2 linked regions of the Drosophila melanogaster genome follow. The protein of the gene in region 1 interacts with the protein of each later gene in a pairwise test. Each region holds a gene or a part of one and is shown in the gene's direction. Other genes may lie near its edges.

Region 1 (5,006 bases):
CGATGAGGCTTTGAGTGAGCTGCTCGATGAGGGAGAAAACTCGGAGGAGAAGGCCAAGCAGAAGCTGGAGGATCAGGAGCTGGATGAGGGACCACCGCCCTCCGTGTGGGATCTCTTCTGCTACCCCAATCTCCGGCGCAAGACGCTGCTTATCTTCCTGGACTGGCTGGTGACCAGCGGCGTGTATTATGGTCTCTCATGGAACACCAGCAACCTGGGTGGCAATGTGCTGCTGAACTTCGTCATCTCGGGAGCCGTGGAGATCCCGGCCTATATATTCCTGCTGCTGACCTTGAACCGCTGGGGCCGGCGATCGATCCTGTGTGGCTGCCTGGTGATGGCCGGTCTCAGTCTCCTGGCCACGGTCATCATTCCGCAGCGAATGCACACCCTCATAGTCGCGTGCGCCATGCTTGGCAAGCTGGCCATCACGGCGTCGTATGGAACCGTTTACATATTCTCCGCCGAGCAGTTCCCAACCGTGGTTAGAAATGTGGCCCTGGGCGCCGCCTCTATGGTGGCCCGGATCAGTGGCATGATGGCACCGTTCCTCAACTTCTTGGCCACCATCTGGAAGCCACTGCCGTTGCTCATCTGCGGATCCCTGACCTTGGTAGCCGGATTGCTCTCCCTCCTGCTGCCGGAGACGCACAATAAGCCCATGCTGGAGACCATCGCGGATGGCGAGCGCTTTGGCAAGAAGACCAAGGCAGATGTCTACCTGGAAACGGGCCAAGAACTGAGAGCACCAGAGGCGCAGCCACTCAAGGGATCAGGCGAGACAAATGGATCAACCATAGCCAATGGCCACAAGTAATAGTTAGACGCTGGTGTTGAACTTTAAAGTTTCAAGAAATTACAGACAGGGCATCTAGAATTCGGTCACGCCAAAGGCAGGGCATTTACCTTTAAAACATAGACCAAGTATTATATACAAATTTTGAAATCTCACACGTAACCAAAAAAAAAAAAAGACCATGCAAAAAAAATTAAGATTGAAAAGCAATGGGTAGCAACAAATAGATCATAACTCTTTTAGCATTTAGCCGGGCAGTGAGGAGCGGTCTTATAAAGAGGGTTACGAATTCCGAAGATTAGGGGAGGTTTTTCCCAGGAAAATCAGCTGGAAAATATACCGTGTTGCAGCATAATTTATTTCTATACCTATTTAACTTTAGATGATTTTGAAATAAACGTACTTTTCCAGAGATTAAATAACTTTACCCCTCCTCCTCGTTGACCCCTCGTAAACCCGGACAGAATGTCTGGCCATTCCATTAGGATTTTTGAAACGTGTTTCCGCTGTGTTTATTTTCGTAGTCGCCTCTTATCAGCCCCAAAAACACGAGACTCTCATTTGAAATGTGGACCCGTACTATAAATCACGAGATTAACAAGTGATTTGTTATACTACTTAGTTATAACAATCATTTTTGGCTGCAGAAAGAACTCATATGCCTTGGAATGCGAATCATAATCGTACGATTCTTGGGCTCTTGGGCATAATGTTGCATTATTCACATCTCGCGAGCACTTTGACCTTGATCTTTTCCTACGTGGCTGCTCGAAAAGTGTGTCGTCTATTTGTAGTGCACCATTTACCAAGTGAACTGCCACATGTTCTCTGCACTTTTCAATTAATATTTAAACAAACCAGCCGATGTTTCAGATAAGAAACGGAAGTATACGTTTTTTTTTTAAAGAGAAATCGGTCTGAATGAAAGAGCAATTTTTGGAAGAGTATGTTAGTTAGTATTATCTATAAGCAGAAGGCAAACGTACATATATGGGGAGCTCATATATAATACTTATCAACATACAGTCGTGGTCGCAATATTGGGATATGTATACTTCGCCAGTTAAATTATTCAAATCGAATTCAAATATTTTCAAAATGTACAGCATTTATTCATATTAATTTTCATTTATTAGTTTAAAATGAGATAAACTCAGATACGCTGAAATTTGGAATCGAACCACAATCGGTGGACACTTTCTTTGGTCAGAAGATGTTCCTGCGGGCTCTAATTGACATCATACGATGTCCAAATCAGTGCGGCAGCTGCCACTTCTCCGCCTGCCCGGCACCCCGATTTCATCCCCATTCTGATATGGGAAGTTATTGATTCTATTTAGAGTTTCCTAATGCGGATCGCTGATCAATAGATTGGCTACGGGGTTGAACGCTCTACACACCACACACACACTGGTAGATAGATAGGCGCGTACCGCTCACACAGACACAGCCAGATAGGCGGACGTTCTGTTCTGGGTTCGTACGAACCCTCGATGCTCTTTGTGTTTTCAGTCTGAGACTGAGGCAGCTGGCGAGCGGTTGATCGCGCGCTCCAAAATCCGAGATTCGCTGGACAGAGATTCACTGCGGTACTGGAGAGTGCTGCTGCAGCAACTGCTGGTGCTGGTGCTGGTGCAACTTGGTTCCGTTTTTCAACCAGATTGTTGCACAATCGAACGGGTTCATCGGGCGTATACGCAACCAGACGCGTTAATATATTGCGCATACGTCACGGTGCCGCGACCATTGAACCGCTGCTAGTCAGTTATCGTACGACACTCGACGGTTGACAACGCCGAATCTCAGGTGTTACACCTGGCACTGCTCCACCAATGGGCTACGACGACGTCATCACCCACCTGGGTGAATTCGGTCCGTATCAGAAGCGCATCTACTACCTTCTCTGCCTGCCGGCTATAGTCTGCGCCTTCCACAAGCTGGCCGGAGTGTTCCTGCTGGCCAAACCCGACTTCCGATGTGCCCTGCCATACGAAAATGGCAGTATCTATGAACTATCACCCCACCTGTGGAACCTATCGTATCCGGAGAATGAAAGGTGCTCCTACTACGATGTGGATTACACGGAGGAGTACCTGAATGGCAGCATTCCACGGAGCAGCAACGAAACCAAGACCTGTTCCAGCTACGTTTACGATCGGAGCAAGTATCTCAATAGTGCGGTGACCGAGTGGAACCTGGTCTGCAGTCGAAGCCTGCTAAGTGCCACCAGTGATTCGTTATTCATGCTGGGCGTGCTCCTGGGCAGCTTAATCTTTGGCCAGATGTCCGACAAGCTGGGACGCAAGCCCACCTTCTTCGCCTCACTGGTGCTTCAGCTAATCTTCGGCGTTTTGGCTGCCGTGGCACCCGAATACTTTAGCTACACGATTTCCCGTATGATTGTGGGCGCCACCACTTCGGGAGTCTTCCTGGTTGCCTATGTCATCGCCCTGGAGATGGTGGGCTCCTCGTATCGCCTCTTTGCCGGCGTGGCCATGCAGATGTTCTTCTCCGTGGGCTTTATGCTCACGGCCGGCTTTGCCTACTTCATCCACGACTGGCGTTGGCTGCAGATTGCTATAACCTTGCCGGGACTGCTCTTCCTTTGCTACTACTGGATCATTCCGGAGTCTGCCCGTTGGCTCTTGATGAAGGGTCGCAAGGATGAGGCCTTTGTGATCATCGAGAAGGCGGCCAAGGAGAACAAGGTGGAGGTGCCCAATGAAATCTACGAGCAGCTGGTGGACGAGGTGGCCGAAAAGAAGAAGCAGGACGAGATGGCCGCCTCCCAACCAGCGGCCACTGTGTTCGATCTCCTGCGCTATCCGAATCTTCGACGGAAAACCCTGCTCATCTTCTTCGATTGGTTTGTGAACAGTGGCGTTTACTACGGCCTGTCGTGGAACACCAACAATCTGGGTGGAAACCAATTGGTTAACTTTATGATCTCTGGTGCCGTGGAAATTCCCGGCTATACGCTGCTCCTCTTCACTTTGAACCGTTGGGGTCGTCGCTCCATCCTGTGCGGTACCATGATGGTGGCCGGAATTAGTCTGCTGGCCACCATCTTCGTGCCGAGCGACATGAATTGGCTGATCGTTGCCTGCGCCATGATAGGAAAGCTGGCTATTACCTCGTCGTATGGAACCATCTACATATTCTCAGCGGAACAGTTCCCGACTGTGGTGCGGAATGTGGGTCTGGGAGCCTCCTCCATGGTGGCTCGCGTGGGTGGCATTCTGGCACCCTACCTAAAACTGCTGGGCGAGATCTGGCGACCGCTGCCGCTGATCATCTGCGGAGCACTGTCTCTCACCGCTGGCCTGCTGTCCCTGCTCTTGCCGGAGACCCTTAACAAACCCATGCCGGAGACCATCGAGGATGGGGAGAACTTCGGCAAGAAGCCGGCGCCGCAAGAAACCGCCGAGGAGGGTGGCACCCAGGAGCTGTCCGGAATGCTGAACGGAAAGTCCGGCTAATTGGAGCCGGAATTGCGAGACGACGAGCAGTTAATCACTCAATCTACACTGATGGCCTCAATTGGTCATTTCAACGAATTTAAGCATTCAGCGCACTTCCATTTCTCCAGCGATGTATATTGTACAATTCATTCCATTTTCTCAGCTCTATTTGTTTAATTTTAAAAGCGATTTAATAAAAGTCACGCATATTTAAATCGTATTTGCACACAAGTCGCCGTCTGTTCAACGAACTTTGTGACAACTTTGTTTTTATTGAGCCGGTTCACCGTCGGTGAGACGATAATATAAATTTGCTCATTAAAAGAATTAGGTCTAAATGGTCGGCTGATAAGAGAACGCTATAATCTCATTGAGTGCAATCTCCTAATGCACTTGCCCGCCAGAGGAACATTCAAATTTTTTACTCATTAATGGCGCTAATAAAGTTGCGTTCACATATCAGTGGTTGTGAGTGATAAAACTGATTACTGTCAACGCTGTCCATTGATAAGAAAATCAAATCAAATCCACAAAACTCACATGTTCCCAACCTTAAGTATGTTCAATTTAACGGACTGATCAAGTTTATCTGATTTATGGTTCAACGACCTTATATTGATATTGTATATGGAAATGGGATATTCCAATATTTATGAGCCATGTGATAATTTTATACCCCTAAAACTTTGAAATAAAGAACATTTCATAAATGTTATATTACTTGACTAATTCAAAGATAAAAAGTTTTA
Region 2 (5,471 bases), on another chromosome or scaffold:
CCGCCCTGCGACAGAAGTTTCCTCAACTGAAGATTCTCCTCAGCGTGGGTGGAGATCGCGATGTGGATGAGGCCCACCCCAATAAATATGTAGAGCTTCTGGAGGCGAATCGCACGGCTCAGCAGAATTTTATAGACAGCAGCATGATTTTGCTTAAGCGAAATGGATTCGATGGCCTTGATCTCGCGTTCCAGTTACCCCGTAATAAGCCCAGAAAAGTCCATGGATCCCTTGGATCTTACTGGAAGTCGTTCAAGAAGCTTTTCACTGGTGACTTCGTTGTGGACCCGCAGGCGGAGGAGCACAAGTCACAATTCACCGATCTCGTTGGAAATATAAAGAATGCCTTTCGATCTGCTAATCTGATGCTGTCTCTGACAGTCCTGCCCAATGTGAACTCCACTTGTAAGTATATATCCTATTTTTACATATAGTAGGAACTATTTTATTAACCACCTAATCAATCATTTCGTTAGGGTACTTCGATGTCCCCAAACTGCATCCCCAGTTCGACTATATAAACCTGGCGGCCTTCGACTTTCTCACCCCACTACGAAATCCCGAGGAGGCGGACTTCACAGCTCCGATTTTCTTCCAGGACGAACAGAATCGCTTGCCCCATTTGAATGTGGAGTTCCAGATTAACTATTGGCTGCAGAATCATTGTCCTGGCCAAAAATTGAACCTGGGAATAGCCAGTTATGGCAGAGCATGGAAATTATCGAAGGGATCTGGACTCAGTGGTGCTCCCATTGTTCATGAGACATGTGGAGTTGCACCCGGCGGAATACAAATCCAGAGTGCTGAGGGCTTACTAAGTTGGCCAGAGATTTGCTCGAAGTTGTCGCAGAACGCATCCGCTCAATATAGAGGAGAATTGGCGCCGCTCCGCAAGGTCACGGATCTCACCCAGAAATACGGAAATTACGCTCTCCGGCCAGCAGATGATAATGGAGATTTTGGCGTATGGCTGAGCTTCGATGATCCGGATTTTGCTGGAATAAAGGCAGTATATGCCAAGGGCAAAGGACTCGGCGGAATTGCCCTTTTCGATTTAAGTTACGATGACTTCCGTGGACTTTGCACTGGCCAAAAGTACCCCATACTGCGGTCAATTAAGTACTTTATGGGATAAATGATTTGTTTGTTAAGCCTAACAAAGCCATATATTTTAAGTTTTCTAATAAATGTTTCATTTGAATTACAAATATTGAAGCGCATGTTTGCGGTTGAACACATTATTTAATAATCGGTCTCAGTGAGAAAAAACCTTTTTGGCAAAAATACAAATCATTGGTTTGTAATTTACTAAAAACCCACAATAATATATTCAAACACATACGAGTTGCAAAACAAAACTGAATTCTATAGTGCGTGTGATAAACTAAATCATGTGGTATAGACGGGTATTTCCACCGCTTTTAGTTCTATATATGTACACTTACGAAACCAATCAGAAACACTGTTTTCGAATTCTAATCAGCAAGCGCGTTTCAATGTTTTCAGATTATTTGCTTGTTTTTTTTTTTTTAATTTTAGAGGTCACAACGTTTTGACCCTGCGTCTGCCTCGTCGCAATCGTCGTCATTAATTTCTGTGTACACAATTAAGTCATTGCGAGAATAAGTAAGGCAATGAGCTCGGCTTCAGATCGGCTTTCAGACCCCTCTTAAAGCTCCGCTCAAGCTTTTTGTCATCGGCTTGGGGCTGGGGTTTTGGTTTCGGTTTCGTTTTCCATTTCGATTTCAGTCTCAGTTCGATTTCATTTGATCTGCTCTGCGGTTGTGCCTATAGAGATATATCCCTGGCACCATGAAGGCGTGGATCTGGTTTACGTTTGTCGCGTGCCTCTTTGCGGCAAGTACAGAAGCTGCCTCCAACTTAGTCTGCTACTATGACTCTTCGAGTTACACCAGGGAAGGTGAGTGAGGTGGTCGGAATACTCCAGAAAGTGAATATGACAGACAAATAATATATACATAGCTTTAGAAAACTTAGATCACAGATCGATGAGGTTTTAACTTGTTGTAAAATATTCTATCTAGCAATCAAACACAGAAAAAGTTACAACGTAAAAACAATTTAGTTGTTCAAACTGGTTCCATTTAGCACTAGAGTATTATAAGTATTACTCACTAAAATGTTGTTGATCTGTTTTAAATTCTTTTAATGAATGAAAACTGACCAACTTAGGTTTTATGAATATACACACTTGATTGTCATCCAAAATGCCTTTTGAAAAGCTTTGAAAAACAGTAATTCTGGTAAAACCTTATTAACCAACTAAGCCACGTTTGAACTGAACGACACATTTAGTAAATGAACTAAAATATGAGGAATGGGAGTAAAATTGAAAGTATTAATCATTTATTCAAAGTTATCCAAAAAGCCTACCAAAATACCGCCTGTCTTTTGAGTAGCGTGTGCCAAATTTACAGACGAATGAAAACAAAAGCATCCTAATCGAGTTACATAACCATTTCTGATTCAAAACAAAACTCGGACTTAATTTAATTCAACTTGCAGTGCTTATCGCCTGGCGAGCGAAACAGAGAGATAAAGAGAGCCAAAGCTAGTTTTATAGAGGTCAGTGGCTTATCTGGCCAGTTTATTTCTTTTTCAAAAATAAAACACAGAGACTGGCTCTCCCGCAGAGTTTCGCTCGCAAAGCGATAAAAAGCAGAAGTTCTGATCGGATTAACAAGCTAATTTGAGCGGGTGTAACTTACCAAACAAAAATAATGGAATGAATTCTCAAAATATGGCAATTAGTTGATTATTTTGGTATAGGGCGAGTTAAGTCTATATTATTGAGCCGATCCCACGCATTCGAAATGAAAAACCAGAGCGTTCAACACACAGCGAGTCCAGCACGACAACTGCCCCGCCAGCGGACGCTGACTTGGCACCAGCGATCCGAGCAAGTGGCAAGCAGAGCACCAAGTGACTCAGCAGCGCTGCACAGTGTCCTTAGGATAGGGGAAAAATGAGATAAATATCGTCCAATAGATGCATTCGATAGGTAAATAAATAAAATTAATAATTAATTAAATAAATTTAAATTTGTAAAAATTTTTAAAACAGGTAGAAGTTAAAATGACTGAAGTTGATTTGTTAGCAGCTCAAATGTATGTTCAGAAATATGTTTAGGTACAAACCGAAAAGTTCATTTATAAATTCTGCTTTCAAATAACGTTTAATTAAATATTCTTATATAAATGCAAATGATTATATTTTACATTAAGCTCTTAACACAACTCAACCCACTGTGCTCTGCAGCCGAGCCAAACAATAATAAACCGCTCGCTGGGCTCACACTGTTGGCGTTCAATTAAGCCACTGAAGTCGACGAGACAATGGATCAGCATCCGAGAGGAGGTGGCTCTGGTCAGGGGGAGATACACCGATCTCCGATCTCCGCTCTCCGGTAGTTTTCACCGAGAGCGAGAGTGTTGGGTGTCGGATCACTGTGCGCAGATAGTGTCCCACAGCAATGACCACTTCGAGTCTCTGGGATTATTTGTTATTCGAGTGCAGCTCGTTGTACTTTTCGTGCATACTAAATATGCCATCTTTTGAATTTAAACTGTGTTTTTTCCAGGTCTGGGCAAGCTGCTCAATCCCGATCTGGAGATCGCCTTGCAATTCTGCAGCCACTTGGTCTACGGCTATGCTGGGCTGAGAGGTGAAAACCTACAGGCGTACAGTATGAACGAGAACCTGGACATATACAAGCATCAGTTCTCCGAGGTTACCTCCCTCAAGAGGAAGTATCCCCACCTGAAAGTTTTGTTGAGTGTGGGCGGCGATCATGACATCGACCCTGATCATCCCAACAAGTATATCGATCTGCTGGAGGGCGAGAAGGTTCGTCAAATTGGTTTCATCCGATCGGCCTATGACTTGGTTAAGACCTACGGCTTTGATGGCTTGGATCTGGCCTATCAGTTCCCAAAGAATAAGCCAAGAAAGGTTCACGGTGATCTTGGACTGGCATGGAAGAGTATTAAGAAGCTGTTCACCGGCGATTTCATAGTGGATCCACACGCAGCCCTTCATAAGGAGCAGTTTACCGCTTTAGTAAGGGATGTAAAGGACTCCTTGAGAGCTGATGGATTTCTGCTCAGTCTGACTGTGCTGCCCAATGTAAACTCAACATGTAGGTATTTCAAAATAATAACAATATGTAATTATACTTTAGTTTAATTATGACTTTAGGGTACTTTGATATTCCCGCTCTGAATGGCCTGGTGGACTTTGTGAACCTGGCTACCTTCGATTTCCTGACACCAGCCCGTAATCCCGAGGAGGCGGACTACAGTGCTCCCATCTACCATCCCGATGGATCGAAGGATAGGTTGGCACACCTTAACGCTGATTTCCAGGTGGAGTACTGGCTATCTCAGGGATTCCCATCCAATAAGATCAATTTGGGAGTTGCCACCTATGGTAATGCATGGAAACTTACCAAGGACTCGGGTCTCGAAGGAGTTCCTGTTGTGCCGGAGACAAGTGGACCAGCACCCGAGGGCTTCCAGTCCCAAAAGCCTGGATTACTAAGCTATGCTGAAATCTGCGGAAAGTTGTCCAATCCCCAAAATCAATTCCTCAAGGGCAACGAATCGCCACTGCGAAGAGTTTCTGATCCCACCAAGAGATTCGGAGGCATAGCTTATCGCCCAGTGGATGGTCAGATAACCGAGGGCATTTGGGTGAGCTACGATGATCCCGACTCCGCCTCCAATAAGGCAGCCTATGCCCGTGTCAAGAACCTAGGGGGCGTGGCGCTGTTCGATCTGAGCTACGATGATTTCCGTGGACAGTGCTCAGGCGATAAGTATCCCATTCTGCGAGCCATCAAATATCGTCTATAAAACGAAACATAACATTTAATACTTTAAATAAACAATTATCAATTATAAACAAAACCTATGACATTTGTTTTGTGTAATCTCTATAAAAGTTTAAGCTCTGCCGAGTTCATGGATTTCATTTTATATCAAAATATTTTTTAGGAGCTCGTATATACATTTTATTTATCTGGCACTTATTCGCTATGTACCCATTTTCATTAAGCATTTAAAAGCTAAATATTTACACATTTTTGGGCATGAGTAATGAACAGTAGCGACCTTGCTAATTCGTCAACACCTTATAAAGTGCAGACTTATCACTATGCCCGTGGAATTAGCCTATTTAAACTATGAGTCGATGGACATAATCTCGAGAAAGACGTATAATCTGTTCTGTAAATTACCGAGCTGAGAGGTGATCTCATTGAACCCGATCTCAGTTGGCACTTGAGACAAACGAATTGGTTGAATTTCGTTGATAATAATACCCACAAAACTGCGTTTGCTATTGTTCGTCTGGGGTTTTCGTTTCACTACGGGGAAACGCGAGGAGGTGATTCCACTGAAAAGCTCCACTGTGCCCATATTTATTCCAATTCCCGTGCTAAGTGTCATTTC

Evidence for each region.
Region 2: the proteins of Orct (region 1) and Idgf2 interact in a two-hybrid assay, tested with the Drosophila melanogaster proteins (one large-scale study listed by BioGRID).

The regions. Positions count from the first base shown.
Region 1 is NT_033777.3:24,274,317-24,279,322, forward strand, and holds Orct (organic cation transporter), read left to right. Parts: upstream 1-1,943; 5' UTR 1,944-2,628; coding exon 2,629-4,275; 3' UTR 4,276-4,476; downstream 4,477-5,006. Other genes in the region: Orct2 (organic cation transporter 2), read left to right, coding at 1-817. UniProt on the Drosophila melanogaster protein: Probably transports organic cations.
Region 2 is NT_033779.5:16,445,585-16,451,055, forward strand, and holds Idgf2 (imaginal disc growth factor 2), read left to right. Parts: upstream 1-1,745; 5' UTR 1,746-1,812; coding exon 1,813-1,921; intron 1,922-2,729; exon of another isoform or gene 2,730-2,885; intron 2,886-3,245; exon of another isoform or gene 3,246-3,601; coding exon 3,602-4,159; intron 4,160-4,218; coding exon 4,219-4,874; 3' UTR 4,875-4,924; downstream 4,925-5,471. Other genes in the region: Idgf1 (imaginal disc growth factor 1), read left to right, coding at 1-405, 477-1,135. UniProt on the Drosophila melanogaster protein: Cooperates with insulin-like peptides to stimulate the proliferation, polarization and motility of imaginal disk cells.